Mytilus edulis: one gene and its partners. The protein of the gene in region 3 purifies or fractionates together with the protein of the main gene of each other region. This does not show direct contact. Links are inferred from orthologs where the notes say so. Each region holds a gene or a part of one and is shown on either strand. Other genes may lie near its edges.

What was found.
Region 1: the proteins of CCR4-NOT transcription complex subunit 10-like (region 3) and CCR4-NOT transcription complex subunit 1-like purify together in Homo sapiens (affinity purification with mass spectrometry; 4 studies listed by BioGRID and IntAct, with this or other methods). This does not show direct contact. The link is inferred for Mytilus edulis from reciprocal best matches to the Homo sapiens genes CNOT10 and CNOT1.
Region 2: the proteins of CCR4-NOT transcription complex subunit 10-like (region 3) and F-actin-capping protein subunit beta-like purify together in Homo sapiens (co-immunoprecipitation; 3 studies listed by BioGRID and IntAct, with this or other methods). This does not show direct contact. The link is inferred for Mytilus edulis from reciprocal best matches to the Homo sapiens genes CNOT10 and CAPZB.

Annotation. Positions count from the first base shown.
Region 1 is NC_092348.1:63,138,659-63,149,158, forward strand, and holds the start of CCR4-NOT transcription complex subunit 1-like, read right to left. Parts: upstream 4,294-10,500; 5' UTR 3,935-4,293; coding exon 3,833-3,934; intron 675-3,832; coding exon 567-674; intron 53-566; coding exon 1-52.
Region 2 is NC_092356.1:9,172,199-9,183,333, reverse strand, and holds the start of F-actin-capping protein subunit beta-like, read right to left. Parts: upstream 4,196-11,135; 5' UTR 4,069-4,195; coding exon 4,066-4,068; intron 1-4,065. UniProt on the Homo sapiens protein: F-actin-capping proteins bind in a Ca(2+)-independent manner to the fast growing ends of actin filaments (barbed end) thereby blocking the exchange of subunits at these ends.
Region 3 is NC_092348.1:14,909,743-14,920,484, forward strand, and holds the start of CCR4-NOT transcription complex subunit 10-like, read right to left. Parts: upstream 4,072-10,742; 5' UTR 3,988-4,071; intron 3,041-3,987; 5' UTR 3,022-3,040; coding exon 2,740-3,021; intron 1,912-2,739; coding exon 1,761-1,911; intron 1,101-1,760; coding exon 1,039-1,100; intron 446-1,038; coding exon 311-445; intron 1-310. Other genes in the region: peptide methionine sulfoxide reductase-like, read left to right, coding at 7,632-7,765, 8,923-9,067, 10,373-10,444. UniProt on the Homo sapiens protein: Component of the CCR4-NOT complex which is one of the major cellular mRNA deadenylases and is linked to various cellular processes including bulk mRNA degradation, miRNA-mediated repression, translational repression during translational initiation and general transcription regulation.

The DNA of each region.
Region 1 (10,500 bases), about 48 Mb from region 3:
CAAAATTGGGTTTACTCAGCAATGAACAACACTCTTGAATCAAATACTGAGTCTGAAAAATAATGAAACATATATAGTAAATATAATTTTCATTTTAACTAACATGACTAAAAATTCTACATTGCTCTAAATGGTTACTAAATTGATCATGTAAGCCTATAAAAGTATTAACATTCATGATGTGTTGCATCTTATTTCAAACAAACAAATAGTTGAAATTCCTCTAATTCATCTCATACACTCCACCCTACCACCCTCCCCTCCCCTTAAGTGAACCTTTGATTTTTTGTAATTTTTAAGTATTCATTCCTTTTTCTTAAACTGTTCTTTTCATTCTTTTGCAAATTTTTTTTATTCATTGTTATTCACAACCTCAGAATGTATTTACCTCTACTTTGTCACCATGCAAATGTTTCTGGTTTCTAAAAAAAATCTTTGCATGATGATCTTTTTCACTCATCAGAAATGGAAAACATCTCCTACATGTAAACTTAATTCATATCGGCATGACAACTTTTTTAAGCTGGATACCCAGTTGTACATATTTAATCATTCTAGTTTAATACCTGGTGAAAGTCTTTTCCACTACTACGACCATCACCACTAAAGTCAACATGAGAAAAAAGACAACGAAATAAATGTCTATCAGCTTCTGCTCCGTGTTGATTTACAAGCTGAAAAATAAATAACCAATTTTAAAAAATAAAATGAAATACATTGAAAACAAGAATGTGTCCCTATTAAATGGATGCTCCATCTACACTATCATTTTCTAAGTTCAATAGACCGCGAAAATGGGGAAAAAATCTCTACTTCAGTATTAAAATAAGAAAGATCATATCATAAGGAACATGTGTACTAAGTTTCAAGTTGATTGGACATCAACTTTATCAAAAACTACCTCGACCAAAAGCTTTAACCTGAACCAAAAGCTTTAACCTGAACCAAAAACTTTAACCTGAAGCGGGACAGAGGGACAAACAGACCAGAAATCATAATGCCCCTAATTGGGCATAAAATTACAGTGACTTTTTAAGATAATTGAAACTATTCATCTCATTCATCATGTTCATGATTCAAAAAGACTATTGGGTGCCATATCAATAGCTTATTGTGTGACTAGCATAGTTTTTGTACCAATAAATTTTAAAAATGAATCAGTGTACATGTAGAATTGATTGAGCCTCTCGCATTGAAATCAATTAAACAAGGGGATATAGGGTAGCTAGAACCCAGTCGTCACGCTGAGTGGCAGCCCAGGCTTGTATCTACAGGCCAACAGAATCTAACTAAAAAATTTCAAAAATTGAGCGCTGGGCCTGTAGATTTAGCAGTTCATCGTGAAGACTGTGGAACCAGGTAATGATTTTTTGGCCTTACTAAGCTAACTGTATGTATTTTACTTTACATAAAAGCTAGTTATTACAACAATAGTGATTTTCAAACAAATAACCAGGATACCAATTTTGCTTTGAAACTAACCTTACAATTTTTATAAAAGTAATCATAAATATTCAGCAATTACTAATTCATCATATAATCATAAAAAAAATTAATTCATTAAAAAAAAAAAATAGTTCACGAATTTGTATTTATCGTTTATGAAAATAAATAAGACTGAAATCATGAATACCAGTGACAAACTACATGTCATTCATTTAATTGAAAAGGAGAGGAAAACGACAATGTAGGTCAATAATATGAACATTTTTCACCAAAATACATACATTGTATGTATTAATATGCATGTTGATGTTTTTCTGAATTTCTGAATTTTATTACAATGTAAAAGGTGTAATGTAAAACAAAATGTTTTCACTATAAGTTTTCTAGATTATTGGGTATAATTATATTAAAAAAATATAACAGAAATTAGGACAATCAACATTAATCATCAGTATTAAATTATCAATTTCTTTCAATTGACTGTGATCTTAACAAGTCTTTAATCCTGTGTAATAATAAATAGTTACATACACAACGGTTCAAGCCGATCCCCAAGCTGATACGTACAAACTTTGTTTTTGTTTGAAGTTCTTAAAATTCCTCACACTTGCCTGTTGTCATCCTTTATTGATACTTTTTACAAAATCCATTTATACTAATTAAAAGTCTGTAGTTTATTCCTCATCATTTATTATGGGGCCAGATCGACGAGGGGCAGGAACGAAGTAGGGCCGGATCGGTTTGGGGCCGGAAGGACTGGATACCATTTGGAAGTCGATTAATATGAGGAGCAGACGTCAATCTGAGTCTAACATACATGTATATATATTCATGATATTGATATTATCACCGAAACAATACAAGAAAATTAATTCAACCTAATTTTGAATAAATATAGGATGTGATCATGTTAAGTGCATATGTGTTATGGAGCAACTGATTCCACATGATCACAGCAGAATCCGGGTCCGTCCGCCCTGATTTCGGTTCGCCCTAGTTACTGTTCGCCCTAGTTCCGTTTCGCCCTGAGACCGTTCGCCCTGATACCTGTTCGCCCTGATTTTTATTTTTTATTATAGTGTTGTGTGTTGAAGTCTCTACAATTTCGCCGAATATTAACGAACTATTGAGAACTAAGTTAGTATCTGTATGTAATTACGTTACTAGGAAATCACTATCACACATCCTTTTTCTTTACACAGAGACATATATACTTTACTCTGCTTTACATTTCCACACATGATTTGATCAATAAAAATGATACATTAGGAGCACTAAAGTTATACATAAGAAAGTGTTCAAAGTTCAAAGTGTTAATTGATCTAAAATTCTTTACTGCAGCGGCTGAACGTTGTCTAGTGCAGGGGCGGATCCAGCCATTTTAAAAGGGGGGGGGGTTCCTAACCCAGGACAAAGGGGGGGTTCCAATTACACGTCCCCATTCAAATGCATTGATTGTCCAAAAAAAGGGGGGGTTCCAACCCCTGGAACCCCCCATCTAGATCCGCGCCTGGTCAAGTGGGTTGTCGGACGGTACAGTTTGGCAATAATTTGTAAAAATTTTATTTGGGAAAAATGCTATTTTCATTATTAATCCATCAAAGACAATTCATATAACAATCAGTGATATCAAAGATTTCAAATTATCAGCAATCAAAATTCAATCAACAGTAATTATAAAATAAAGTGTAACAATGCAGCCAAAAATTTTATTTCATTAATATTCTGTATTTAACTTTTAATAGATATACATAAATTTTAATATATATATAAATATATATTTCTTTCATTAATGTAACGTATACATTGTCCATTATCACTGTACTATTATGCATATTTTAGGGGCCAGCTGAAGGACACCTACGGGTGCGGGAATTCTCGCTACATTGAAGACCCATTGGTTGCCTTCGGCTGTTGTTTGCTCTATGGTCGGGTGGTTGTCGCTTTGACATATTCACCATTTCCTTTCTCAATTTTACATATCATAAATGAAAATTGGGCGAACGAACCCAGGGCGAACGGATTACCAGGGCGAACAAACTCAGTGCGAACGAACCTAGGGCGAACATGTATTAGGGCAAACGATCCCGATACCATCACAGCACTGGACCTCTTTCAAACTCATAATCAAAGTTCAGACAGTCAAACTAAAAGGCTGCATAAATTTATCATGGGGCAATGCCTTCAATACAAACAAATGACATGGTTTATTTCAAAGTGATAACAACATCATATATCAGCTGATTTTACCAGTACACCATGTGCACATATTGGTCAAGATCACACGAGCTGAAATTATCTCCCTTGATAACGATACTCTTGACAAAATCTCTGGTTATAAACAGTATATAAGCGATATTGGAATTAATCTTATGATTATACGTACATGACTTATTTCTGTTATACTCGATTTAAAATTTTTCTTTGTCAAGTTGGCCACTGAATAACTTATTTCAGCCAAGGCAAAAGATAATGAGTCAAGATTCATATTATTCCATTAAACTGAAAACGAAAGCCCCAAATCAGTTTGAAGCTCTCCTAGTCCACTATATACACTCTCTGCACAATAATTATAAAGTAAATTAGTCATATGGGGCCTCTGTTGGCCTGGCATCTGGAAATTTCTACGGTTTTACATTGTCATTTTCAACACCGACATGGCGTCACAGCAGCCATGTTAAATCCGTGCCGAAACTTCCCGACTTTAAACGAAGCATTGGATCATGTGACACGTACTAAAAATGCGTTATTGGTAAAAATATTTTGATCAAACAAATATCTAGTTTCCTTCAGTTAGTTTAAATGGTTAACGGTAAAACAATCTGTCATTCTAAAATCACAACATTTAAAGTTATTTCACAAGTTAGAAAATTTACACGCCGAAAGTTTTCAGCTTTCAGTTCGTGAAAAAAGTTTCCGCCGGAAATAGGGCTCTTCACGGTTAGTTCGGCCATATTGGATAGGGGGCAGATTTTTTGGAAGGAGGTGGAAATGGTATGAAAGTGTGGGAAATCCTATGTGTGTTTCCAAGCAACAGCTCTGTTTTAATGATGTTTTCCCGTATTTTTCACACCATTTTTACCTCTATTATGAAAATCTGCCCCCTATCCAATATGGCCGAACTAACCGTGAAGAGCCCTATTTGTGCATGATGTGCATCGCTCAATATCGATGTCTTCATGATTCTTTTGGAATATATTTTTAATCAACTATTATTTGAGCATTTTGATGAGAACGTAGTGAAATTGGTTTTGTTAAAGTGTTTTCCGTGGTCTGTCTCTTTGTTTTCTTATGCAGACCTGAGACTACTATAACACATGTTATAGTAGTCTCAGTGCAGACGCACGACAGTCTAAACTTTTAACGGATCAATATTTTTTCAATGTTTTTTAATAATTGTTTCAGAAATGAGGAGGAACGTAACGTGACGGTATATACCCAAATTGCACCTAGATGTCCGCTGCTATTTTTGCTAAATAGGCGCAATTTGGGTACTCGGTGCAATTTGGGTACCGTACGTTAGTCACGGTAGTATTGATTGTAAACATACACGTGTAAACATACCACCATGAAAATTGTTCACGTACTGTACATGTCTGAGTCAAGATCAACAATTTAAGATTGGAATCATGGAGGGGGGACTAGGCGACCCGGCCCGCCGCCTGAGGACTTTTGCCGTTTGTAAATTTGAGTTTTAATTATTACTTTCGGCATTAGATTTTTGACAGCCACTAAATTCCCTCCTCATCAGACGAACTGGCCTTTCGGACTTTTTTGGGGGTATCCCGGATCAACATTTGAACAAACATGATTATATTGTACAAGCTGATCATGACTACCTATATTGAACTAGTTTCCATTAATAGATGCTCCTGAAATAATAGTAGGGGAGAATTGGGTAAGTGGACACATTAAGCGTGCACATATGTTTCAGCTACAGATGATATGTTATCAAAACTTTCTCATAACTTTTTACTTAATAACTTAATTCAGAACAAGTGTCGGCTTTATACAATTGAACTTGCTGATCATGCAGATAACCAACTTTCAGTGGTACATTCAGACGTGGTGTAATTACTCTTCAACGGGTTTTAGAGGTGAGTCCGGCGAAATAAAATCCATTAACTACGCTTTAGTCTTCGATAGGATCTTCAGCATGTTTAACCAGTCGATGTACAGAGTTTTACCAGAGAAAATTCATCAATACACAGTCAGATCTAGTTAAGCTATAACATGATTCGATATTTGGGCTTTTGATTTTGCCATTTGATTACGGACTTTCCGTTTTGAATTGTATTCAGAGTTCAGTATTTTTGTTATTTCAATATTCTTTTAAATAAACAAAGTCTGACCTACATTGAGAAAAAAAATGATTGTGTCAAAACATAAAAAATCTATATCGTCAATAACATTAAATTCGTCTTATGGGAACTACTTCTGTGTTCTGTCTCTGAGGTATCTGTAGATAGATTATTGCGAGGCAAAATGTCTGCCTCTATTTAACATAGCTTCATGTTCCTAAGTGGGAGGCCACATTTTGCATACCATGCATATTGTATTGAGTAGTTATCGACTTGAATAAGCAGAAATATTTGCCACTGGGAGCCATAGGTACTTTAGGACAGGATATTTTTTTCTTAACCCTCCCCCTATATAATAAATCAGTGAGCACTAGCTGTGGATAGTAAACTTGGAATTGATAGTAAATAGCAAATACACTTTATTTCTAGTGTTTAAATGGTCACATAATACATATAAAAAAAACGACAAAAGAATTGAAATGAATAGAAAACAAGAAAGTAGCGGATTTCGGAAAAAGGGATAGGGCACACAAATAGAAGAGGGACGAAAGATACCAAAGGGACAGTCAAACTCATAAATCTAAAACAAACTGACACAACGCCATGGCTAAAAATGAAAGAGACAAACAGAAAAACAATAGTACACATGACACAACATAGAAAACTAAAGAATAAACAACACGAACCCCACCAAAAACTAGGGGTGATCTCAGGTGCTCCGGAAGGGTAAGCAGATCCTGCTCCACATGTGACACCCGTCGTGTTGCTTATCATGCGGTGATTACAAATCCGGTAAATAGTCTAATTCGGTAGGTCACATTCATGAAAGGGAAGGGGATTGTAGTTACGACGTAAGGAACATATCCGATATCATTTGTGAAACGGTTATTCCATAACGGTCAACCAACTCGTGATGGCGTCCGTAAAATTTACGAAGGGATGATTTCAACTTTACCATTTGGAACTCTTGGTTTAATAGCTTCCTTGTGAGCAGTAACCCTCTATCAAGAAAATCATGATAGGAAATGCAAGCACGGGAATATCGTATCAATTGGGAGATATATACCCCGTATGCAGGTGCTGCTGGAATGTTGCTACTTAGAAATGGAAAGTTCACAATTGGAAAGCTGAAATCATCTCTTTTGTCGTAAAGTTTTGTTTTCAACCGACCCTCATTGTCAATTTCTAGATGTAAGTCAAGATATGAAGCCGACTTAACTAGTAAATAGCTTATGATACATGTACTTATAATAAAGTTCTACATGTTAATCTGTTAATCAGATTGACTAACAGGGTAAAACCTTAAGGAACTATAATCCTACAACTAAATGAGTGTTAAATTGTCTTTATCATGTTCTGGGAATATTTTCCAACAATTTGACTTATTTCCATAAAACCAAATTGCCATTCAGATCCATGTTTTGAATACAAAATTGCATAGTTTACATTTTCTCTCTCGAGTAAAGGACGTCGCTTACCAAATTGTATCAATGTGTCACGGATCAGATAGACAATAAACACTTAACTTAAAACAAAGTTTTGGATTAAGTTAACGACTTCCTTCTTATACATTTTTGGTCTAACTAAATCTGTACAAATTTCGCTATTTGGTTAACTGCTGTTTATTATTATTATTAGATGATATGTAAAATAAGCAATTTCATTCTTAAAATCTGAAATTACACCTATTGGACTGGTACCTATTGGGTGACTGTTATATATGGTGAATTTAATTTAAGATTGATAGACATTTTTGGAAAATGATCCATGTGTGCATGTTGTGTGAGAAAAATTAAGGGCAAAGTTCATTGTTCTAGTTTAATTTCCCTCGGTTAAAAAAAAACTTTTCATTTTATAAAAAAAACAAAAAGTTAATTCTGTCTTTTGAATTTCAACATGTAATGTTCATAAATTTTACGGACGCCATCACGAGTTAGTTGACCCAGTGGTCTCGTTAGCCCAAAATAGAAGGGCGCCGCGCCCTGGGTGCCCTTAGCCGCGCCCTGTGTGCCCTCAGCCGCGCCCTTCTGCCCTGACGCTGTTTTTCGAAAAACCCTTGTGCCGTTTTGGTAAAATTGCCTTTTGTTTCAATCGATTTCTTATCAGAAGTTCAATTACATATCTGACACCTGGTGATTGCCCCCAGGTAACGAGGTTAATCATGTCATTACAATCAATTATAGTGGATAAGACTTCAAAGGTGTTAATTACTAGGTAATTTAATTTTAAGACAATGTACCTTTGTCATAAATATGATGAATGTGTCGGCATTTTCTTTTCGATCCTCAAGTCACCATGGAAGAGTGTATGAATGAAGACTTTCGTGAATTTAGAATTGAATTGAAGTTATCAAAATAAAACTATGCCTTTACAGAAACATCGCTCATCTCAACTTGTGAGCGACAAGCAGACGTAAACATGGAAATTAATTTTGGAGTTATTTCCCCTGAAAAAGCTTATTACAAAATTGTGCTCCTAAAATATTATCTAGCACTAAAAATAGGAAAAAATAACCAATTGAATACAAAATTATATAAGAATGTTACCTTAAGGATATTAACTGTCTTTGAACATACAAAAAAAAATATATTGCAATTTATTTTTGATAATCATACTTTTGGCAATCCATGTTTTATACATTGTCAAAATAGAAATTTAAAAACAAGTTTTAAAGTTCTGAACAGGTGTCCAAGCTATGTACTTTCTAACCTGAAAGTGTGCAGTTTAACTCTAATCACAAATCAACTTGATGAAGCTACACTAAATAATATATTTCTGAACATGAACAATGAAAACAGGTGTTGAGGGTCAAGCTCTAGATCAAAATTTTAAAGTACTCTGTCATGTACATGTATGGTCAACTATGAGATGTTTAGTTTATGATCTTTCTTTTGGAAGGAGAGGGGGTGGGGGAGAAAAGTAAGTTTATTTTGCCTCTTTTGGTTAATAGTATGAATGTGTATTGCCATGTTTTATGAACATGTAGTATGAATGACTTTTCTTATGCAAATTTTATAGAATAAATAATCAAAACAACTTATGCATCTTTATTAACAATATATACAGAAAAAAAAATATGTGAAATCGTGATACACGCAGGGACGTAGACAAAAAAAATGAGCAGTGCCTTCTCCTATCATAAAAAAGTGCCCTGCCCTCCACTGGCACCCTGCCCCTTTTGAATTCTAGCTAGAGCACTGGTTATAGAATAACCGTTTCACAAATGATATCGGATATGTTCCTTACGTCGTAACTACAATACCCTCCCCTTTCATGAATATGACCTACCGAATTAGACTATTTACCGGATTTGTTATTACATAAGCAACACGACGGGTGCCACATGTGAAGCAGGATCTGCTTACCCTTTCAGAGCACCTGAGATCACCCCTAGTTTTTGGTGGGGTTCGTGTTGTTTATTCTTTAGTTTTCTATGTTGTGTCATGTGTACTATTGTTTGTCTGTTTGTCCTTTTCATTTTTAGCCATGGCGTTGTCAGTTTATTTTCGATTTATGAGTTTGACTGTCCCTCTGGTATCTTTCGTCCCTCTTTTACACTGTATCGTTTGACGATTTTTAGTGGTCCAAATTTTTGAAAGAACTGCGCTCTCTGGTTACATTTTCTAAACTGATTTGTGTCTACATTCATAGGTATGATCTGTATTCAGATTGACAAAATATACCATTTCAATTTTCCCATTGTGCCGTTTTTCATCTTTTAAATCAAAAGCAACATTTTAGCTGCAATCGCACACGAGGTTCTTTTCTATCTCAGAGTATACTTTATTTCATGTTTTCTATAGTCCGATTTTATCAAATAAAGAATATCATTAACGAACTATGGAAGCTTATAAGAAAAAGGTCTTCTTTATAGTAAGTTTTTTTTAATTGATTTAGAAACATATCGACCGACTTCATATCGTAGTTAATCGGGAAAGGATTTTAGTGCAAACGGTTTGCACGGATTCGTTCCGTAGCAACACTATGACAATTTTCCTAAGTGATGACTTAATTTATAACCAGCTAGGTTTAATATGGACGACTGGTGAAATATACCAGTACATTTGAGTTGAAACCCACTTTATAAATAATTGTTTATTGTCAAATAAGTAAAACACGATAATTGTACGAATCATGATACTTCACGACGGGTGCCACTTGTAGAGCAGGATCTGCTTAAGCTACCCTTCCGGATCACCTGAGATAAACCTCAGGTTTCGGTGGGATAAGTGTTGCTCAGTCTTTGGTATCTATGTTGTGTTTTGTGTATACTGTTGTTTGTCTGATTTTCTTTTTTTTTGTCGGTTTATTTTTGACTTTTGAGTTTGAATATTCCTTTGATATCTTATGCCTCTCTTTGATATCTTATGCGTCTCTTTTGTAGATTATTGCTCGTTTGTTTTGTTTTTTTACTCACTTTTTGTCCTGTCCTTAAGCAATTCACTTTTTTGTATATCCAAAAGTAACTTGGTGCAAATAGTTTCCAATATATTTCGAGGGAAAACCTGCAGAGCTAAAATTAATACCAACACATCAGAAAATGCAAGATGAGACATTCTTACTATACGAAACGTGTAATAATAACAGTATTTTTTTAAGGATTGTTAGAGACCACCAGAAAAAGACCAAGAAAAACGTACTGTACTATGATTAAAAAAGACAGGCAATTTGTGAATTGTTTAAAGCCTCGTTATACCCTTGTTTTGTTAAGAAATTAAAATCTGTAACTGCGTCTGAAGTATATGTTACGTTC
Region 2 (11,135 bases), on a different chromosome or scaffold from region 3:
ATAACGCTGAACTCATATTTTCAGTTGGACTCAAAGGTAATTATCTGTGTTAATAAAACTCTTGGGTTGATTTTTCTCAAAGATGCTTCAATTGAGTATAAAATATATTTCTGCACTAAACTCCGTAAAATTTGACATACCTGGATTTCTGGATAATATAAAACAAAGGTTTCAGAAATTGAGTCTGTCAAATTTTACAGAGTTTGGCGCAAAAATTCATTTTTTACTCTTCTTTAAAGAAATCAGTTATACATGTAGATGTTTTAAATAAAGCAGAAGATAAACATCAACCTTGGACAGTCAGAGCTCAGACATAAACAAGTCGATTTTTGATTTTGACTTACAGAAGTCAAAACATGTATTTATTACAAGAGTGCACACACTGAAATGTCTCGCCTTCTTTACTAATCATTGATATTATGTTGATAGTCCTAAGTATAAAGCTTTATTACAACTGTCACATAAACTTAACATTAACCAAGATAGCTAAACAAAGACCAATGAACCATAAAAATGAGGTCAAGGTCAGATGAAACATGCCAGGCAGATATGTACAGCTAACAAAGCTTCCATACAACAAATATAGTTGACCTACTACTTATAGTTTAAGAAAAATAGACCAAAACACAAAAACTTAACACTGTGCAATGAACTGTGCAATTGAGGTCATGGTCAAATAAAACCTGCGGGACTGACATATAGATCATAATATATTTCCAAACACCAAATATAGTTGACCTTTGGCATATAATATTAGATAAAAAGACCAAAACTTAAAAACTTAACTTTGACCACTGAACCATGAAAATGAGGTCAAGGTCAGATGACATCTGCCCGCTAGACATGTACACCTTACAATCATTCCATACAACAAATATAGTAGACCTATTGCATAAAGTATGAGAAACACAGACCAAAACACAAAAACTTAACTATGACCACTGAACCATGAAAATGAGTTCAAGGTCAGATGACACCTGCCAGTTGGACATGTACACCTTCCAGTCCTTCCATACACCAAATATACTAGCCCTATTGCTTATAGTATCTGAGATATGGACTTGACCACCAAAACTTAACCTTGTTCACTGATCCATGAAATGAGGTCGAGGTCAAGTGAAAACTGTCTGACGGGCATGAGGACCTTGCAAGGTACGCACATACCAAATATAGTTATCCTATTACTTATAATAAGAGAGAATTCAACATTACAAAAATTCTGAACTTTTTTTTCAAGTGGTTACTGAACCATGAAAATGAGGTCAAGGACATTGGACATGTGACTGAGGGAAACTTCGTAACATGAGGCATCTATATACAAAGTATGAAGCATCCAGGTCTTTCACCTTCTAAAATATAAACCTTTTAAGAAGTTAGCTAACACCGCCGCCGTAGCCGCCGCCGTAGCCGCCGCTGGATCACTATCCTTATGTCGAGCTTTATGCAACAAAAGTTGCAGGCTCGACAATAAAAATGTGTTTTCAATTTTAGACTTATCTAAGGCAGAAAATGACAGACTTGTTTAGGTCTATTTATGTTGATGAAAAAACATAATTTGACTTGGTGGCCAAAGTACACCACCTACATGTATGACAGCAAAAACTTGTCTGAGAGTTCACAAAGACTTGAGCTATCTATATTTAATTATCCAATTGAACATTCTAACTTAAACTAAACACAGATGTTTTACCTCATTAAGTGTGGCTCCAGGTGGTTGCATTGTAAGGTTAATTAACATTATCTCCGATTTTTTAGACTCTCATTCATATTTTTCTTTAGAAGACAAAGCATTGTTTTTCAATGTGGTCATTATTTGATTTAGATGTGTGACCTTTTTATAAATATGCGTGGGTCTTGAAGTTTACCAATGTTGGTAACTTATTGACTTGTAGTCCGTATTTGCAACTTTTTATTTCTTGTCAATTATTTCTTGCTTAACAATATTTGACTTATTAAAGTCGTATTTTGTCTTGCATTAAAGGGAGACAAATCCTAAAACTTACAAATTTAGACTTCTATGAGTCAAAAGCGGATTCAGACTTATTTATGTCTGAGCTCTGACTGTTGGATGGACTTTTTTAACATTACGAAAGACAATTATTGCAGGGATCTCCATGGATGAAAATTGAACGATGGAGGAACTTTCACCATTACAAACCGTGTCTACACTGTTTTCGACATGGTTTAGTGAATTGAGAGTAGATTACCGTGAAGAGGAACACTGCAGGGATTATGAAATTAGTTTAGTGTTAAAGGAAAATATTCACTAAATCGATTCATATAAGGCAGTGTTCTAGGATTCCCATTACCCGTTACCCGGGGTAAGTGGATTAGGACAACGGGTAAGTCATTTTTTAGCCTTTGTCACCCGGTGGTAAGTCAATTTTCAAGTTCAGGGAAGCCGAAAAACTCTTGAAATTTTCCGGTCCTCTTCAATTTTCCCATATCTGCTTTTTATTTTTATTAAATCACGAGAAAAAACTTTGACATGTTTGATAAAAGATCGAAGATTTTGTCGATGTCTATCGGCGCTTTTATTCAAACACTCGTTTACTAGGTGTAATCAAGCGCAAAAGAGACCACATTCTTCTCCTATCATTCTAAAAGTCGGTCACAGTATCGGTAAAATCGGAAAATCCGGATTGATAACTGGTGCTTAAATCCGGACATAAACGATTTTTTTTCTTGTCATCGGAGGAAAATAAACTTACAGTTGCATTTATTATAGCTCTTAATAAATGACATAGTAATAACTATAACATATTTGTCAAATTTAGTAAGAAATCGTTTTTTTTAAATTTTGTACAAAATTCAATCGTATCCGAATCCAGCTTTGTTCAGACAAACTTCACAACATATAATTTAAAGCATGTCATAAAAGTTTTTAAATTTAAAATCTATGTGCAACACATGACTTATCCTTAATCACTAATGTTCAGTGAATCAGCCTGAAAAATATTCAGTATTTTATAAAGAGCATGTCTGATTTTTAAAAAGAGTTGCATGTAAGTCCCTTATTTTTTTTTACAGTGGATTATTGGTATGAAAGTCAGTGAAGTTCTGTTATAGTTCAATGTACTTTTTTGGTGGTATAGGTATATAGTTACAATTAAGCCATATATTTCAAATACTTTTCAATACACTTTAGTCATCATTGCTTCATACAAAACATCATTTGACATCACAAAAAAGGGTACTTTCTGAAGCATGAAAAAGGTGCCAGGAAATGGCTAGAATGCAGGATTTTGCATCATTTACCCCAGAGCTTATGGGGACCTTGAGCGGCCCCCAGACTCCCGGCCATAACGGCAGCGGACGGCGCAGGCGGATTGAACTTATAGATGTGGGTAAGTAATTTTTTTATTGATCTTACCCGTGGTAAGTCAAGGTGCCAAAAAAATCCTAGAACACTGTAAGGTAGGGATTTTTAGCATTAAGTTGAAGGGTAGAAAAAGCGTCCGAAGCGGAGACTGTCATGACCTAAAAAAAAATTCGTTAGCCACCTTCTTCTATTTATATGGATAGTCGACCTTCCTGTGGATAGAAACAAAAGCCTGTGATATTAGCCCATCAACACGTCATGATTATTTGGACTTTTTTCAGTTATGACTTCAAATTTTTCCAGATCCTTTTGTTTTGAGATGTCCAGTAATGGCAGATAAATAGCTATCTCGGGTCAAGTGTTGCAGATCCTCTAATAGGGTTCAAGGTGAAGACTGTTAGTGTAAACAACCATTTTAGTCCATTTGTTATTTATGAACTTTGAGTTTATGTACATGTATTGTTACAATCGACTATAAAGCTGTATTTGGCCATACATTTATTTCACAATAATGTCTATTTTAGTACAATCAACTGTTCTAAGCATGCACAATGTCAATATATTCTGATATTATCAATTCTGAAACCCTGAACGATATGGATACATCGATGGGTAATCCGCCCTCTTTTGAGATACTTAGCTTTAATGTCATTAAAATTTTTCTAGAAGTAAATACTGATTGAAAAATATGAAGTATAATTATTATATTTTCGATCTATAACAGTCTAAACATTTATGCAAACCATTTTGTGGAGATAATACTCAAATCTTTTGATTCAGGAAGCAAGAGTTCGTAGAAATGGCCTCTACATCCGGGACAGCCTTTACTGGTTTACATGAGAGCAAGCATAGAAGAAAAAGAATTAAACCGGATATCAGTAATGGGTCAATACAAAATGCAGCATCGGAACGGATTTATTGTTTGTTCGTTTTCAGTTTTGCACAAATAATAAAAAAATCAACGTCAACCAGATTTATTAAAAAAAAATAAAAAAAAAAAATCATATTGTAATATAAATATCAGATAAGAGCCAAAAGAAATACAGATTTGACTGTTTTAACAAAAGGTTATTATTTAAAGGCGTATTTCAATAAAAACTTACTTTCTTATCCTAGCCACTTTTAAAAAAAATGTGTTTGATCTTTGCTAGTAATTTTTTGTGCAGCCAGTACATCGAATAAGATTTAACATTTTTAAGCAAAGACACAGATGATTTTTTAGAGCGATTGATAAGATATTGATTCCTGAATATGGTCCAAAACAACCAAAATGGCATGTCTCTAGACCGCCTGTTCAACATTCATACTCGTAAAAAAAATATAGAAATACATTTTATTTTTACTTAATATAAGTTCTTTAATAATTTTGTTAAGAGCCAAGTTCAGTCAACATATTTAAATAAACAGCTTTTAGCATAGGATTTTCAATTTCAGAAGGTTTGTCCCTGACAAAATGTCCAATATAAATATCAGATAAGAGCCAAAAGAAATACAGATTTGACTGTTTTAACAAAAGGTTATTATTTAAAGGCGTATTTCAATAAAAACTTACTTTCTTATCCTAGCCACTTTTAAAAAAAATGTGTTTGATCTTTGCAAGTAATTTTTTGTGCAGCCAGTACATCGAATAAGATTTAACATTTTTAAGCAAAGACACAGATGATTTTTTAGAGCGATTGATAAGATATTGATTCCTGAATGGTCCAAAACAACCAAAATGGCATGTCTCTAGACCGCCTGTTCAACATTCATACTCGTAAAAAAAATATAGAAATAAATTTTATTTTTACTTAATATAAGTTCTTTAATAATTTTGTTAAGAGCCAAGTTCAGTCAACATATTTAAATAAACAGCTTTTAGCATAGGATTTTCAATTTCAGAAGGTTTGTCCCTGACAAAATGTCCAATATAAATATCAGATAAGAGCCAAAAGAAATACAGATTTGACTGTTTTAACAAAAGGTTATTATTTAAAGGCGTATTTCAATAAAAACTTACTTTCTTATCCTAGCCACTTTTAAAAAAAATGTGTTTGATCTTTGCAAGTAATTTTTTGTGCAGCCAGTACATCGAATAAGATTTAACATTTTTAAGCAAAGACACAGATGATTTTTTAGAGCGATTGATAAGATATTGATTCCTGAATGGTCCAAAACAACCAAAATGGCATGTCTCTAGACCGCCTGTTCAACATTCATACTCGTAAAAAAAATATAGAAATAAATTTTATTTTTACTTAATATAAGTTCTTTAATAATTTTGTTAAGAGCCAAGTTCAGTCAACATATTTAAATAAACAGCTTTTAGCATAGGATTTTCAATTTCAGAAGGTTTGTCCCTGACAAAATGTCCAATATAAATATTAGATAAGAGCCAAAAGAAATACAGATTTGACTGTTTTAACAAAAGGTTATTATTTAAAGGCGTATTTCAATAAAAACTTACTTTCTTATCCTAGCCACTTTTAAAAAAAATGTGTTTGATCTTTGCAAGTAATTTTTTGTGCAGCCAGTACATCGAATAAGATTTAACATTTTTAAGCAAAGACACAGATGATTTTTTAGAGCGATTGATAAGATATTGATTCCTGAATGGTCCAAAACAACCAAAATGGCATGTCTCTAGACCGCCTGTTCAACATTCATACTCGTAAAAAAAATATAGAAATAAATTTTATTTTTACTTAATATAAGTTCTTTAATAATTTTGTTAAGAGCCAAGTTCAGTCAACATATTTAAATAAACAGCTTTTAGCATAGGATTTTCAATTTCAGAAGGTTTGTCCCTGACAAAATGTCCACTACGAAACGAAGTCATTAATATTTGCTAATTAACAGTTTTATAAAATCAATGTAATTTTTGTTTGCAAGAGATATAAACATTAGGGTCTTACAAAAGAAGTGATGCTTTTATAACGGCAATTAAATTGTTGGTAAGAAAAATTGAGCACATCAAATGGACCCGAGTGATACCGTATTTTTTTTAATGTCCACTACGAAACGGGTCAAATCTTCTTCAGTGTCTGGTTTTAAGATTATGAAAAATATCAGTGTACAGCTTAATACATGCTTTGATGAATACAATCAGTCTTGTTACTATTGCAATATAGGGATTGTGGGGAAAAAATAAAACATGTGAATATGTTCCCTACGAAACGGTCGCCTATATATACGAAACAAGTATGGGAGAAAAAAACGTTTCGTAGTGGACACTACCACTACCATGCAGTCTTTTTTTAACACCTTTTTCAATTATATTCGTGCAAAACAAATAACAAGGGTTAGTTTCATGTAATTTTTATTATGTTTTTATCAACATAGAATAGGGGTTGATGTTAGCTACGAAACTTTTTGTCCACTACGAAACGGTTTTGTCAACTACGAAACGCATCAAAATGTAACATGAGTTGTACCTTCATATGTGAAATACTGTCTAATCTTTATCGATAAAAAATGGTTCTCCAATTCAGAAAAAAAGGAAATTTTTCTAGTATATAAAGTAAAGAAACTGGAATGTCTATAGGCAACATATAAAATTGCAAAAATATGTGTGTTTAGAAGCAGTTTAATAGGGGACCGAAACAGTACACATTATGAAAATAATATCATTTAAAAGAATATTTAAGATTGCACTTTTTGTTTACAAACAGGTCTATAATAGAGGTATTCAAAATAACTCTTGAAATTAAATTTTAGACAACTTGATTTTCCATTATTTTTAGGTCTAAAAGTTACGCTTTTATTGAAAAACGACCTTGTAGCGGACATCCGGCATTGGCTTTGCTCATTGTGGAAGGCCGTACGGGGACCTATAGTTGTTGATTTCTGTGTCATTTTGGTCTCTAAAACTTGTGGAAAGTTGTCTCATTGGCAATTATACCACATCTTCTTTATTTATATTAAGACAGTACAATGTGCAATTTGCCATTACTCATTTTAACACGGATTTGTTTTCTCTGATTTCTATCTGTCGATTTATGACGTTCGAACAGTAGTATAATACTGTTGCCTTTATTTATCCATAATTCATGCAATTCAAAATAATAGTTTTCAAAACTTGCAGATAGCTTTAGTATATTTAGAGTTATCTTTCTTAGAACCATAAAGGAATCAAGTTGGAATGTAAATGGCTTCGGAGATAAATACAGAGATGATCAATTCATGTCTTGCCTCAAATATGAGACAATTGTTGCTTAGAATCGGAAAGTTCAAAATTGAGAAACTTCGGAAAGTTCAAAATTGGGAAACATGACTTATCTCTTTTGTCAATATCCAGATACTATTTATGAAAAGAGGCAGACATTCTGTATCTGTGGAATCCAATGGGAGAAATCAGAGACGACATAATCTTTATCACAGAATATGTAGTTGAATGAGAATGATTGTAGCTTCTTTTCGTTCTTCCGAGAAGCTTGTGTATATAAGTCGTCTACCTATCATGCTTACGAAAAAGAAAAATCGACAAAAGGACCATTGCTTCCAATAGGAATGTCAATAGGTTGTTGACCAACAAGTGCTCTAAACGTGACAAACATGTCAATTGAAAAATTCAAACAGACATATTACTATAATTGTTATAGTTTAAAAATTTGTTTAGTAAGAATCAAGTGCGTTTTTGAAAATCATGTTTTACCTCTTCCTATGACAAGATAGCTGTTAATACATTGGCTTAATTTATGAAACAAACAGACTCTTTCGATGTTTTAGAATGATTGATATTGTTGTAAAGGATAAGAAAGTCAAATGTTTTCTAATGGAAAAGGATAGAGACTTAGATTGTACTTAGATAATACATCGTTTTAAATATCCACACTTGATTTACACGACCCATAGAGATAATTACTCTGAAATTCCGATTTGATTAATTGTAAAATATAGTAATATTTTAGAAAGAGTTTTTTAAGCAGCACAATTGAATGCTGGTTGTAATGGAATCTGTGTTGTTTTGGTATTTAGTACTGAAAATGACGTTCCAGTTGTTGATATTTTTTTCAATTTACAGAAGACTCACCAGTAAAACTCGAATAAGATATAGTTGGGAAAAATAACTATATAAAGTACGAAGTTGAAGAGCATTGAGGATTCAAAGTTCCGAAAGTCTGGCCAAATTCGCTGGATAGAAAATCGTTAGTATTTCCCAATTCCTTAGGTAGATGTAATTGAACGATCCCAATTTGATATATAAATATTCCGAATTATATAATTGCACGCGAGTACACCTAACCAATGTTGATCTGCTTTGTTTTATTGAAAGGTAAGCAGAATTGTCGTGTTGTAAAGTTAACTTGTAAGTCTAAATCGATAGGTTTCTTTCGGGGCAAAGGAGGACGGGATTGTGGAATGACGATAATCGATTGGAACGTATTCATCTTCATCTGTGAAACATATGTTCCATAACGGTACACCAACATGTGAATAAATAAAATCATCATAGATACCAGGATTAAATTTTGTATTTACACCAAACGCGCTTTTCGTCTACAAAAGACTCATCAGTGACACTCGAATTTAAAATAAGTTAAAAGGCCATGCAAAATAATGTGCAAAGTTGAGGATTATTGAGGACCAAAATTCCTAACAGTTTTGCCATAGACAGCTTAGGTAATCTATTCCTGAGGTAGAAAAGCCATAGTATTACAGCAGATTTCAGTCAGTATGTAGCTAATGGTAAAATCTTTGGTTAGCTTGCTTGTTAGCTGAACCGTGAAGTCATTGTTAGGTAAGGTATACTACCCTCCTTTTAAAGTAGCTTAGTCCTACAGAGAGATAGATTTTTTATCTGTTGGGCTAGTCTACTATTAAAGGAGGGAAGTTTACCTTACCTAACAATGACTTCACGGTTCAGCTAACAAGCAAGCTAACCAAAGATATTACCATTAGCTACATACTGACTGAAATCTGCTGTAAAGATTTAAAAGTTTTGAAAACAGTGATGTGGTCCTGAAACTTTTCGACGGGATATCAAGTTCATCACTTGGAACTCTTGGTTTAATAGCTTCGTTTGTAAAGAGCAAACCTCTATTAAGAAATTCATGATAGGAAAAGCTATACCTGGAATATCGTACCAACTGGGAGATATAAACTCCATATGCAAAGGCTGATGGAATATTGCTTCATAGAAATGGAAAGTTTACAATTGGGAAGCTGAAATCCTATATGTTGTCTTAAAGCTTTGCTTTGTTTAGACATTAATTGTAAATTTCTATTTATAAGTCAAGATATGAAGCAGAATTATCAAATATATCTTTCGTATCCGTTATTTCATGTAAAATGGGATAGATGCATTCAACAGATGCTGCTTGAGGTACTGATACCGTGTGTCGAACTTAAAAGTCGACGAACCTTTGGGTTTCCTCTACCATAAATGTAACCGGGAGAGTGGCTACTTGATTGGGGATGATAACGAGCTACAACCCACGACCGGTTGACGTTGTCGATGTAAAGGGTAGACAATGACTATGAGTATCGCTCTAAGACTAGCATGACAAGGTCCATTTTAAACATTTGAATTACCGCACATCAAATAAAATACTGTCTGTAATATAAAACTTATCAAAGATACAGACTAGAATTGGTAACAAGATATTTATATAATAGATATGTTTGTCCATATGCATTCAACTGCAAATAATGCAAACTTATACTATTTAGATTATATGTGTGAAAAAATACATAATGAATAAATTAACCTTTGTTTCGACCGTTGACTTCCTTGTTCAAAAATTTTCAACAATATGGTAAGAATATTTTTGATATTTCACTTTTTGTTTCGATTTGTTATCATATGCAACTTCTGTACAAAATACTTTTCATGGGAAGAATAAAACTTGCGGATGATACACAATTAAGGGACTTCAAAATCAGAAGTTGAAGAGAAACTGACTCCGTCGTGGCTAAAAAAAAGAAGATCGAAATGACACACATCAATCCTTAAATATAAAGAACACTTAACACTGAGCAACCTGAACCCCATAGATAATCTCTGGTCTCAGATTATCCAAAAAGGACACTCAGATCTTGCTCCAAATGTAAGAACCATGTATGTGTTGCTCTAGAAGGTACACATTTGGTAATAAATCTCTTTCGATGAGTCACAATAGAATGAAAGAAAATGAGATGACTTAAGACTGTCTCAAATCCAGTTTACATTATACGGCAAAACGTTAGGTAATACATTTCAATGTACAAATAACTTTAATGTGTTGCATTTATAATTTAAGCATATTTATTTATATAGGATTGGGAAACAAGTTTTGCAACTTATATTAATCCCTTTCCACTTTGCATATATATGATATGGTTAAATTTATTTTTAAACCAACAATTAACATATGATTTCCATCTTTTTGTGGTATGATTTTGACAACGTGTTACATTTAAGTTAAAGATGGAATTTAAAATTAATTCCCAGTTTAAATTTTAGATGACAACTAGTTCCAAGTTTAACTTATTTTGTGTTTGAACATTTCAATGTTTAGCAATGTCTTAATTAACAGCGGCGGTGGAAACAATGAATAAAGCGAACAGAAAAGAGGCCTGCTTTAATTGCATAAAATACACAAAAGTAAACAAAATACGTTCGAACCGAACAAGTGTAAACCCTTCGCAGGAGCACTGTAATCAAACATATCAATTTGACTCTGATTAACACAGTGTGAGCTGCTTACTACTGATACGTCCCTAGCTTAGAGAACTAGACATTCAGATTACGACAGTGTGAGCTGCTACTACTACTGATACGTTCTTAGCTTAGAGAACTAGCCATTTAGATTAAAGACAATAAACGAAGAAAACAAAACTAACATAAAACAAA
Region 3 (10,742 bases):
ACATGGATGCCCCACTCACACTATAATTTTATATGTTCAGTGGACTGTGAAATTTGGATTAAAAACTCTAATTTGGCATTGAAATTAAAAAGATCATATCATAGGAAATGTATACTAAGTTTCAAGTTTATTGGACTTCAGCTTCATCAGAAACTACATTGACCAAAAACTTTAAAATGAAGCGGGACAGACGGACAAACAAACATATGAACGAATAGAAAACATTATGCCCCTCTACTTCATAGGTGGGGCATAAAATTCAAATTAAATAAAAAATAGATATTTAAATTACAAACATAACCTATCTCACCAGACTAAGTTTTGTTTTTGTTGGGTCATCAGCCATGTTGTCGTCTTTATCCTTCCCTTCTTTATCTCCCCCTGATTTCCCAGTATTAAATACATTCTTCTCTGCATAACTTAACATTCCCATCGCTTTCTCTGGCTGTAAGAAGAAAAATAAATAAAGATAATATGTATTTTTGTTAGATGTAGTTCCATTTGTTTTATTAATCTATTCATCTGATCAGTTAAGCCTTTTTCAACTGATTTTTATAGTTCGTTCTTATGTTGTACTGTTATACCACTATCCCAAGTTAAGGGAGGGTTGGGATCCCGCTTAAATGTTAAACCCCGCCACATTCTGTATGAGTGTGCCTGTCCCAAGTCAGGAGCCTGTAATTCTGTGGTTGTCTTTTGTTGATGTGTCACATATTTGTTTTTCCTTCATTGTATGTACATAAATTAGGCTGCTAGTTTTCTCATTTGAATTGTTTACATTAGTCCTTTCAGGGCCTTTTATAGCTGACTATGCGGTATGGTCTTTGCTCATTGTTGAAGGCCATACGGTGACCCGATGTTGTTAATTTCTGTTTCATTTGGTCCCTTGTGGAGATTTGTCTCATTGGCAATCATACCACATCTTCTTATTTTACATTCACAGACTGGACAAATAAAGCCAAAAATTTTCCTGAATTGAGCTCATTTGAAGATCAATGCATAAACTGTCTAATGAATCAATGTGATATAGTGACTTACTTGAAAAGTACACAGATATAGTTCAACAAGTAACATTATTGCTTTCTTTGCCAAATTTTCTTCTGAAAATAAACAAATAGACAGTTAGTTTTTGTAACAATAAGCGTTTGACCATTAAAAACATAAGTAATCTACTATAACACAGTTCAACTTGTCCTCAAGCATGATAACTGTAAAAATAAAAACTTATCAAAATGGAATTAATATATATTAAAAATAGGATAGATATGTTTAGGAGGTATTGGAAAATTTACTTGGGTGTTAAATTCAGTATGAATCAATAAATCTAAAGATATAACATCAAATAGTGGTCACACTGAATAACCCCTGTAGTGTTGTTTTTTTAAAGTGTGCACCACATTTATGTTATTTCGAAGACAAAAAAAATATTACAGTCATTTCTTATAAGTTAATTCTAATTTCCATATCAAACCGGAGTAAATCATGGAAAAACGTGATGATGTCATGGTCACATGACAAAATTATGTCTATGAGCTGATAAACATAACAACGTCTGCCAATCAGAAGATGTGTTTACATCCAAAAATAAGTTATACCAAAATCAACTCAAACATTGTCAAATAATAACCTTAATAAAAGCAATTTGACTGATAGTAGAGGAACAATGATGAAAATCAACTTTTAATGTTAAAATCAGTGATTAATTTACATTACACATATGGTCATGGATAAAGTACAATACACTATGGTGTACATAATACCTATAGGTTCGATAAACTGAAAGAGTTTGTCAAGGACTTTTGTGGCTGCTTTATACTGTCTGAGATGGTAAAATATAACGGCTTGGTTAAAATACAATACACTATGATCCACATCTTCTAAACTGTCACTGTTATCCATGCTGATGTTAGCCTGAGAAAATAAAAATTCAAGTATATTACTACAAAGTTATAATATAGCAATATATCATCATCAAGACACCCATAACTATGTTCCTGGGTGATTTCTACAAAATGCTTTAGAAATAACTTCCTATGTGATTACTAAAAAGACCAGGATGGAGAATGACCGCCAATGTAACATTTCCTTTAGGAGGCATCGGACAAAGTAATCAGCAAACTTAATTATCAGCCAATAATTAATATATTTCATTAGTATGATATCCTGAAGTCCACACACACATTTATTTACAATAATTTTCATTGTAGAAGAGACAAGCTGGCAGATGTTATTACTTGATTCAGTATACAGTACCAGCCACATTTACAGTTTAAAAAAAAACAAACAATCCTTTTTAACAGTTTAAAAACAGGGAAATATTTGCCAAATATATTCTCTTGATATCCTTATTATAAGAGACTACAGCTATAGCATGTATAGCCTATAATATTTCTCTGAACAATAATTAGAGATTTATGATTATCTCTGTTCACAATAAATAGATAAATAAATACAACACTGCATGCACTTTTAAATCTTTAAACCCAATTTTTAATGAGCTAGTTCAGCAGTTCATATATATTATTATGAATCTTGAGCCAAGCAGTAATGTTTGCTAACCATGAAATGCTGCATGCTTAGTGGAAAAGCAAATACCAAGTTAAAGTCTCTGGATTGACCTGGCCAGAAGTTGAAAACTACAACCTCTAGTACTCAAGGGAAGCATAATTGCTCAAAACCACTGCAACGGTTCCCAATAACATAACACTTTTAATTTACATATTTGAAATTAAATCATACCATCTGGCAAACTTTATCGAGGCTCTGTCTAAATTCATCTGTAGTCAAGAATCCACTTTGATAAAATTCAGCTACTGCTTTGTTGTGGACCACTTTAGGATCCATTGAACGTTCAACAAAAAGTTTGTGTGTAAGATTACAACAGGCACCATAGTTCTTCTTTTCAAATTCCTGTAGAGCTTGGCTGGCTATCTGTTTCTGAGGTTCTGTGACTGAAGGTATAGGTGGTGGAATATCTACAGTCTCTTGGGGAGAATCATCTTTGTTTTCTTGTGATGCCATTACTTACTTGTAAATGAACCTGATATAAAAAATAAAGATAACTTATTTTTTATCACTTACAAATATATCAATATCAAAATCTGACAAACCAATATATAAATGAAACTTCTAGAATTCAATTTAAATTTCAAAAACTTTTACATATTTGGACGCCGCCTCCAATAAATCTGGGGCCGTTCACGCCCATTGCTGTGAGCCTCCTTTCACTTTTGCACCCTAGACCTTAGCAACCAATTTTTATTAGTTTTGTGTTTAAATTATTTTGTAAACGAGTTTTGGTAAGTGCATTGCTATAAATATATTTTTTTAATGGTTCCTAAATAAAGTGAGATTCTGACATCTGTCAGTCTTTGTTTTGTGTTGAACATAAATCTTAATCATGTTTTGGTTAGTGCATTGCTATGAAAAAAATCATGGTTTCTAAATGAAGAGAGATTATGACCATGATGACAATGCTTTATTTTTGTGTTTGTTTACATCTCAAATCAGTTAACAGGTAAAGATGCAGGGCATTTATTTTCATTTTAAAAGAAGCTTGAAGGTACACTATCTATAACGGGACAAACATGTGTGGTGTGAAGGTGAAGAGTGTCAAAATGTATTGGGTGCGAACGGACCTGATACCGCCTGTCAACATTAATGACCACAGAAATTATGTCATGAATGTGTGCCAGTCTCTTTTGCAACTAAATTCACAGGCTCGACAATAAAGTTTAAATATTCAACATATTTAACGTGGGTGTCGAAATCAGTACAACTATTGCCGTCGGTGCCGATTTGACTATACCGGGTGCGATTTAACCAGAAATAAATTATTTACTGAGCCTGAGGTCACGACGGAAATAATTTGATCATTTGAATTATGTCATTTCAACATGTTACATGGATTTACTCTTGAACCAGTCATACATATTATTTATGTTAATAATTTCAAATTTATTTCAGAGGATACAAAATTTATGTTACCCTGCTGTTTGTTGTTTTCAAATTCCGACCTGGGCCTGGACTCAGCAGGCATCCATCTTGTCTGAGGGAAAAGTGTAATTTCATGATTTTATATCTGACTCCACTTTAATCATAGATTGAAGAAATAATACTCAATACTTTTCTTAACTACATTAGAGGTAAAGATGAAATCCAAAAGTATTTTTAATAATACAAGCAATACAATATTAACTATAGATGTATTTTGTCTTCAAAATTAATATAATAATATTTCATTAATTTAGGCTAATCTTGTTGGGAACTGGTTCCTGGATTATTAAATTTACTATTTTCCTTTAAATTATGAATTGATAACAGATTTACTGAAATTTGACATCTAAAAGTTAATACAGTGTATACCTATAAAACAATTTGACATCTAAAAGTTACAGTGTATACCTAAAAACAATATCTAAAGGGTATAACAGGTAGAACCTCAATTTTATATTATAATTGTCATTATGGATTTATTTCTTTAGCCTAAGTTTAGGTCAAATAATAACAGACATAACAGACAACAATGATATTATATAAACACAGCCATTTATAGTTCAGATAGGTAAACAAGAATATGACGCTAATCATAAATGTAATATGGGCTAACTCATTTCAAGCATTCTGTGACAAGACGAATAAAGAAGATTATACAGTGGCGGATCCAGGGGGGTTCCGGTGTTGGAACCCCCCTTTTTTGGCCGATCAATGCATTCGAATGGGAACATATAGGGGGGTTCCGATCTCGGATCCCGCTTACTGTTTTGTCAGATTCCTGTATCCCGCTTACACTATGTACGTAAGCAATTCTAATTTTTTTGTCATTTCCCGGGTCCCGCAAGACCTCATTTCCCGTTTTCACGACACAATAATTTGACTTTCACGCTTACGAAAAATCGGCAATCCCGCGTCACGCTTAGACCCCAATGAGACCCACCATATAGTTGGAACCCCCCCCTTTTGTCCAAAGTTAGGAACCCCCCATTTAAAATGGCCACTGAATTATGGTACAGATATGCTTCACACTTTTTGCCTTGATCTTCTGTTCTCCTCTTTGATCTTTACAATTTTGCAAATAGCATTCATTTACTTCATGGAAAGTTTGCGGTCCAGTAGTTCATAAAATTCTCAGTGATATTGTTGGCATTTTTCAAAACAACCTCTACCCTTTTTTATTGGGAAAATATGCATAATTTGGGGGGGGGGGGTTTCAGTCATGCTTCAGTGATTCCCAATATGATCAACCAAATTTTTCTCACAAAAGAGGAGGCTTGTGACTTGTTTTTCGGTTTCTATATTTGGAACAACAACCACACTACAACTTCACAATTTTAAATCATATTCAAAATCGTGTTAAAATATGTTAGAACAAATTTAGTAAAACTTACCTGTTTCAGCCATTTTTTTTTACTGTCAAAAATATGCATCACCAGAATAGTTGTTGAGAAAAACTCAGAATGGTTACATGAAGTACAGCTATGTTGGTTGTCTGTCAAACACTGCATCTTCAAGACATGCGACTGTCATGTATGTTTTCTGTAGTTTTTGTGACAAACCAGCTAGTTAAGATTAACTGGGTTCTTACATAAAATCGGATTGTTCAAACTCCATTCATTCAACATTCTATTGACAATTCTTTTTATACAACCTTAATATATAATGATAAAAACAGTCCTAGCTTTTTACATTTAATCACTAATTTTAAAACTTCAGAAATAAGGTCTTTTGTAGAAACCCAGTGCCAATCTGAAAAAAATCAAAATGTAAGAATTTCAGCGCATGAAACATCAACCAAAAACTATTTACTATTTAGTTTTAATACTGAAAAGAATTAAATAACTTTTTTATGAGTTAAGCAATCACCAGAACCACAACTTTATAAATTACTCATTTCTGGATTTGATAGTCATTTCCTGTTTGTGAACTGATTCCGTTTTTTCTTCATATGAAAACATATGACACTGTTTTTTGACATACGAAAATCGCAAAATAATCAGAATTAGTAAAAAGTCATAGTTAGCCTTGACAAATAAATCTAGATATCTACAAACATTCGATAGAACATGTTTTTAAAATTTTGAGTACACACCTGAATAAAAACTCCACTGAAAACCGTGAGAAGTGAAAATTGTTATTAGTCCAAAAACACATTACTCGATGATATGTATATACATTGTATATGTCAAAGTATAAAATCAGGGTGAAACTCTGTTTGTTAAAGCTACATTTGTATTAGTACCATTTGTTTAAACTTTTACATGTCATACCATTTGTTAGGTTCAAAATTATCAAGAGTATAAAAAACTTTGAACAAATTTAACTATAAAAAAAATCTGCCATCAACAGACAACACCAAGTCTCACAAATGACAAAAGATAACCATTGAAGAGTACTTCTTGGGTGAAGCACCATTATTTTAAAGTATATTTACACTTTATGACGTAGTGAGCATTTTTCAGAACCACTCCTCAATCACAATGGCCTAAATGATTTATCTAGAGAATACAAAGGTTTTATATTTGTAGAGTATCTTCACTATGCCACTAGAAGAAGGGAGGTTATGTAAGGCAACTTTTGCCCTGAGCTGATTCTGGTTCCCTGAGGCCCAGTTTGGATGTCTACCTGGTGTGGTCAGAACCAAAGTGGGATTCACAGGTGGAGCCACCAAGAATGCTACCTATCGTAACATGTAAGACATTATATTGATCTGATAAAGGATTAGTCTGTTATAAATTTTTATTATATTACCTTGATTACAGCTTAAAAGATATGTGAGTTATAATTTATTTGGTCAAATTTATTCTTATGATGCCTTATGCAGGCTTTATATGTTACTGTGACATTCATAACTCATATAGCACAAAAACGGTTAGCAGTTGCCTGCTGCACACTATGTTATGGAAAAGAATAACACTTGCTTTATTTTATCACTTGGTTTCAACAAATGAGTGTTAAATTTTGAATTTTATATGTTTTTGGTTTATTCTCTAAATGATATTTACCTTTGTATAGATAACAACAAATATATTCTAATCTGTTCATTAAAATTTCTTGAAACATGCTGTAAACCAACTTATGTTTGTGAATATTTTATTTCTCGTTCTGCCTATTCTAGCCAATTTCGCAGCGATTTAATTTCATTACGTAGTTAAGTAAACCAAAATCCAATTTTTCATATTCAAGACAATTTATATATTTGCAATAGTTTTATACTCTAAAATAAATTGCACACAAAAACTAGTTGGTTTACAATTTGTGGGAAAATAGGAATAACTTTTACTCTGAAAAACAGTTGCATGTTCTTATATTTTATCATTTAATTTTGCCAGAAATGAATAATATGTTTTAACTGTAGATTCATTTAATTTAGATTGGTAAGGTCATAAAGACATGTAAATGAATGAATGATACAATGTAGGTAAGATAGGGAGAATATTATGCTCAAAATGTTAAATTTTATATATACTACATTCAAATTGTAATGAACTGATTTCAACTGTAAACTATTTTGTAGTGGAGATCATACAGAGAGTATCAGCTTAGAGTATGATCCCAGTAAAATAAGCTATGGTGACCTGCTGAATAAATTCTGGTCATTCCACAATCCTACTTCATCTCACGGAACCCAGTACATGTCAGCCATCTTTTATCATAACACTAAACAGAAAATAGAAGCAGAAGAATCAAAGAAAGAACAGCAGAAGGAAATGGTACGACCAATAGTAACTCAGATAAAGAAAGCTGATACATTTTATGATGCAGAAGAGTAAGATATACTAAAGACATATACAAATACTGTGGATTCATTTATTTTCGTGGGCACCAAATTTTGTGGATTGAGCAAAACTTGCATTTTTGTGGATATTTGATTTCTTGGTTTGGCCAATGTCTGCATACAACCTTTTAGAAAATGTGTAATTCAGTGATCATTTCAATCCATGGTTTATCTGTACCCACTAAATCAATGAAAATTGTTACCCCACAAAAAATAATGAATCCGCAGTAATTCATATTGTGAAATTTGGACCCTTGGTACAAGTTTAGGTGGATTGAGAAATAATTGTATAATTGGGAAATAATTGTATAATTGAGAAATAATTGTATAATTGGGAAATAATTGTATAATTGAGAAATAATTGTATAATTGGGAAAATCAATTTTATGTTTTTGTCAAAGTCAGCATACAAGCCATAAGAAAATTAGTTCTTTAATATTTAAATTCCTAAAACTCCTTTACACATGAAATCCACAAAAAATGGTGATCCACGAACAATAATGAATCCACAGTACCTTTGAGACAACAACAATCTTTATAGAGGCTCAACTTTACAAACATGCACCACACATGTGGAAAGTTAATGCACATTAAATGTCATCAAATGTAGGAAGTTAAAGCTTATAAACATCTCATATAAGTAGTGAAAGCTTACAAACAAAAACAATTCATATAAGAGATTAAAGGTTACAAATATAAATAACTCAAATAAGAGGTCAAAGCATAAACAACTCATATATGTATACATATGTACCAGTGCCTATGCTGCTTTTCCTGTTGCACTACTGTTGTGTTGATCTCTTAGTGAGCTATAAAAAACAGTTAATTTGGTACCTACCCCACCCATCCTGAAATTGTATCATTAAATCCATTTATGCCTTACAGAAAAGAAGTTTGCACAGCTGATTGATTGATTTATTGTTGGTGTTTAACACCACTACCATCTCAATTGGCTTAATCTGTAGTCAGTTTTTAGTAGTGGAGGAAGCCCAGAGAAAACCACAACAATTGACAGGAAAACTTACACTCCAAGTCAATTAAGATTTGTACAGGATTGGAACTCACTACCTCAGCGTTAGAAAAACATTGTACAGTAGTTGAACTATTTTATTTTCAAATTAACTTCATTTTTGCTTTTATTCTTTTAGTTACCATCAAAAGTACCAATTGAGAAAGTATCATGAGATATTAGATAGCCTCAATCTTACTAATGAAGAGCTAATTACCTCCCCTGTTGCTTCCCGTTTAAATGGTTACCTAGGAGGATATGGATCAGCTAAAGCTTTTGAAGAGGTGAGTCAACTTTTTAATTCATTTTGATAGCTAGTATCAATTTACACTTTCTTAATTTTAACTCTTGGGTATTTTTCATGAGATACAAATTGGTAACACTAATGCCTTAAATTATGTCCTGACAATGTTCCGAGGATTGACCAGACCGGAGTGAGAAGGTTAAATATTTTTATGCCCCACCTACGATAGTAGAGGGGCATTATGTTTTCTGGTCTGTGCGTCCGTTCATTTTTTTGTCGGTCTGTCCCCCTTCAGGTTAAAGTTTTTGGTGAAGGTAGTTTTTGATGAAGCTGAAGTCCAATCAACTTGAAACTTAGTACACATGTTCCCTATGATATGATCTTTCAAATTTTAATACCAAATTAAGAGTTTTTACCCCTCCTTCATGGTCCACTGAATATAGAAAATGATAGTGCGAGTGGGACATTCCTGTACTTGGGACACATTCTTGATTTTATGCCCCACCTACGATAGTAGAGGGGCATTATGTTTTCTGGTCTGTGCGTCTGTTCATCCGTGCGTCCGTTCGTCTGTCGTAGCGTCCGTCCGTCTGTCCCGCTCCAGGTTAAAGTTTTTGGTCAAGGTAGGTTTTGATGAAGTTGAATTCCAATCGACTTCAAACTTTGTACACATGTTCCCTATAATATGATCTTTCTAATTTTAATGCCAAATTAGAGTTTTTACCCAAATTTCACGGTCCACTGAACATGGAAAATGATAGTGCGAGTGGGGCATTTGTGTACTGAGGACACATTCTTGTTATTATTGAAAGGCTTTAGAACCAAGCAAGATGACAATATTTCATTAATAAATACAAGAGTAAAAATTTGAAAAACACATTTGTAAAAGTCAGAAAACTTGACCTGACCAACTTCAACTTTGTACTGACTAATGTCCTGACGGATATGAAACTGGGACTGAGAAAATTGAACGAGGTCACTATCTTTGTATATGTATTTTCTAGTAAAGTGTATATGCATGGTTAACTGTTTATTTCAGACTAATTGTAATTTGGATATGTGTTTAAGTATGTTATAAATCAAATATGAGAGTTTGAGTCAAATCAATGAATATGATTTTGACAGCTAGTGGCCCTTTAATTTCACTTTTTGTATTAAACTATAAAAATTACATACAGATTTTTTTTTTTTATGTCAGCAGTTTATTAAACATTTTTTTCTTGCAATGTGAGTGAGTGCTGTAGAGAGGGTAACTTTATATATGCATTATAGCTTACTGTGGTCAGTAAATAGTTTGATATGTATTTTCTTTTTGTCATGTTAATCAACTGTCTGTATATTCCAGGAATGTGAAGATTTAGGACTTCCACAGAAAGTCAGATCTCTTGTGTCCAGCAAACTGCAAAATAAGCTTTAAACAGATGGAAAGAGACTTTTTCAATAGCATTGTACATTAATTTATAGTCACTCTTTTGTGTCACACAAATTGTAATTGTAGATTTAATATAATCATTTTTTTTCCATTCATATTTTTTTCTATTTGATAAATATTAAATAAATAACAATGAAATTTACTGCAATGTAAGAAACTAATGCAATTATTTTGTTAAAGTTTTAATAATTTAAAAAAATACCAAAAATGGACATGATTAACATCATAATGAAATGAAAATTTGCAGTTTCAGTTAAACTAATTATTGTCTAGAACATGGCAT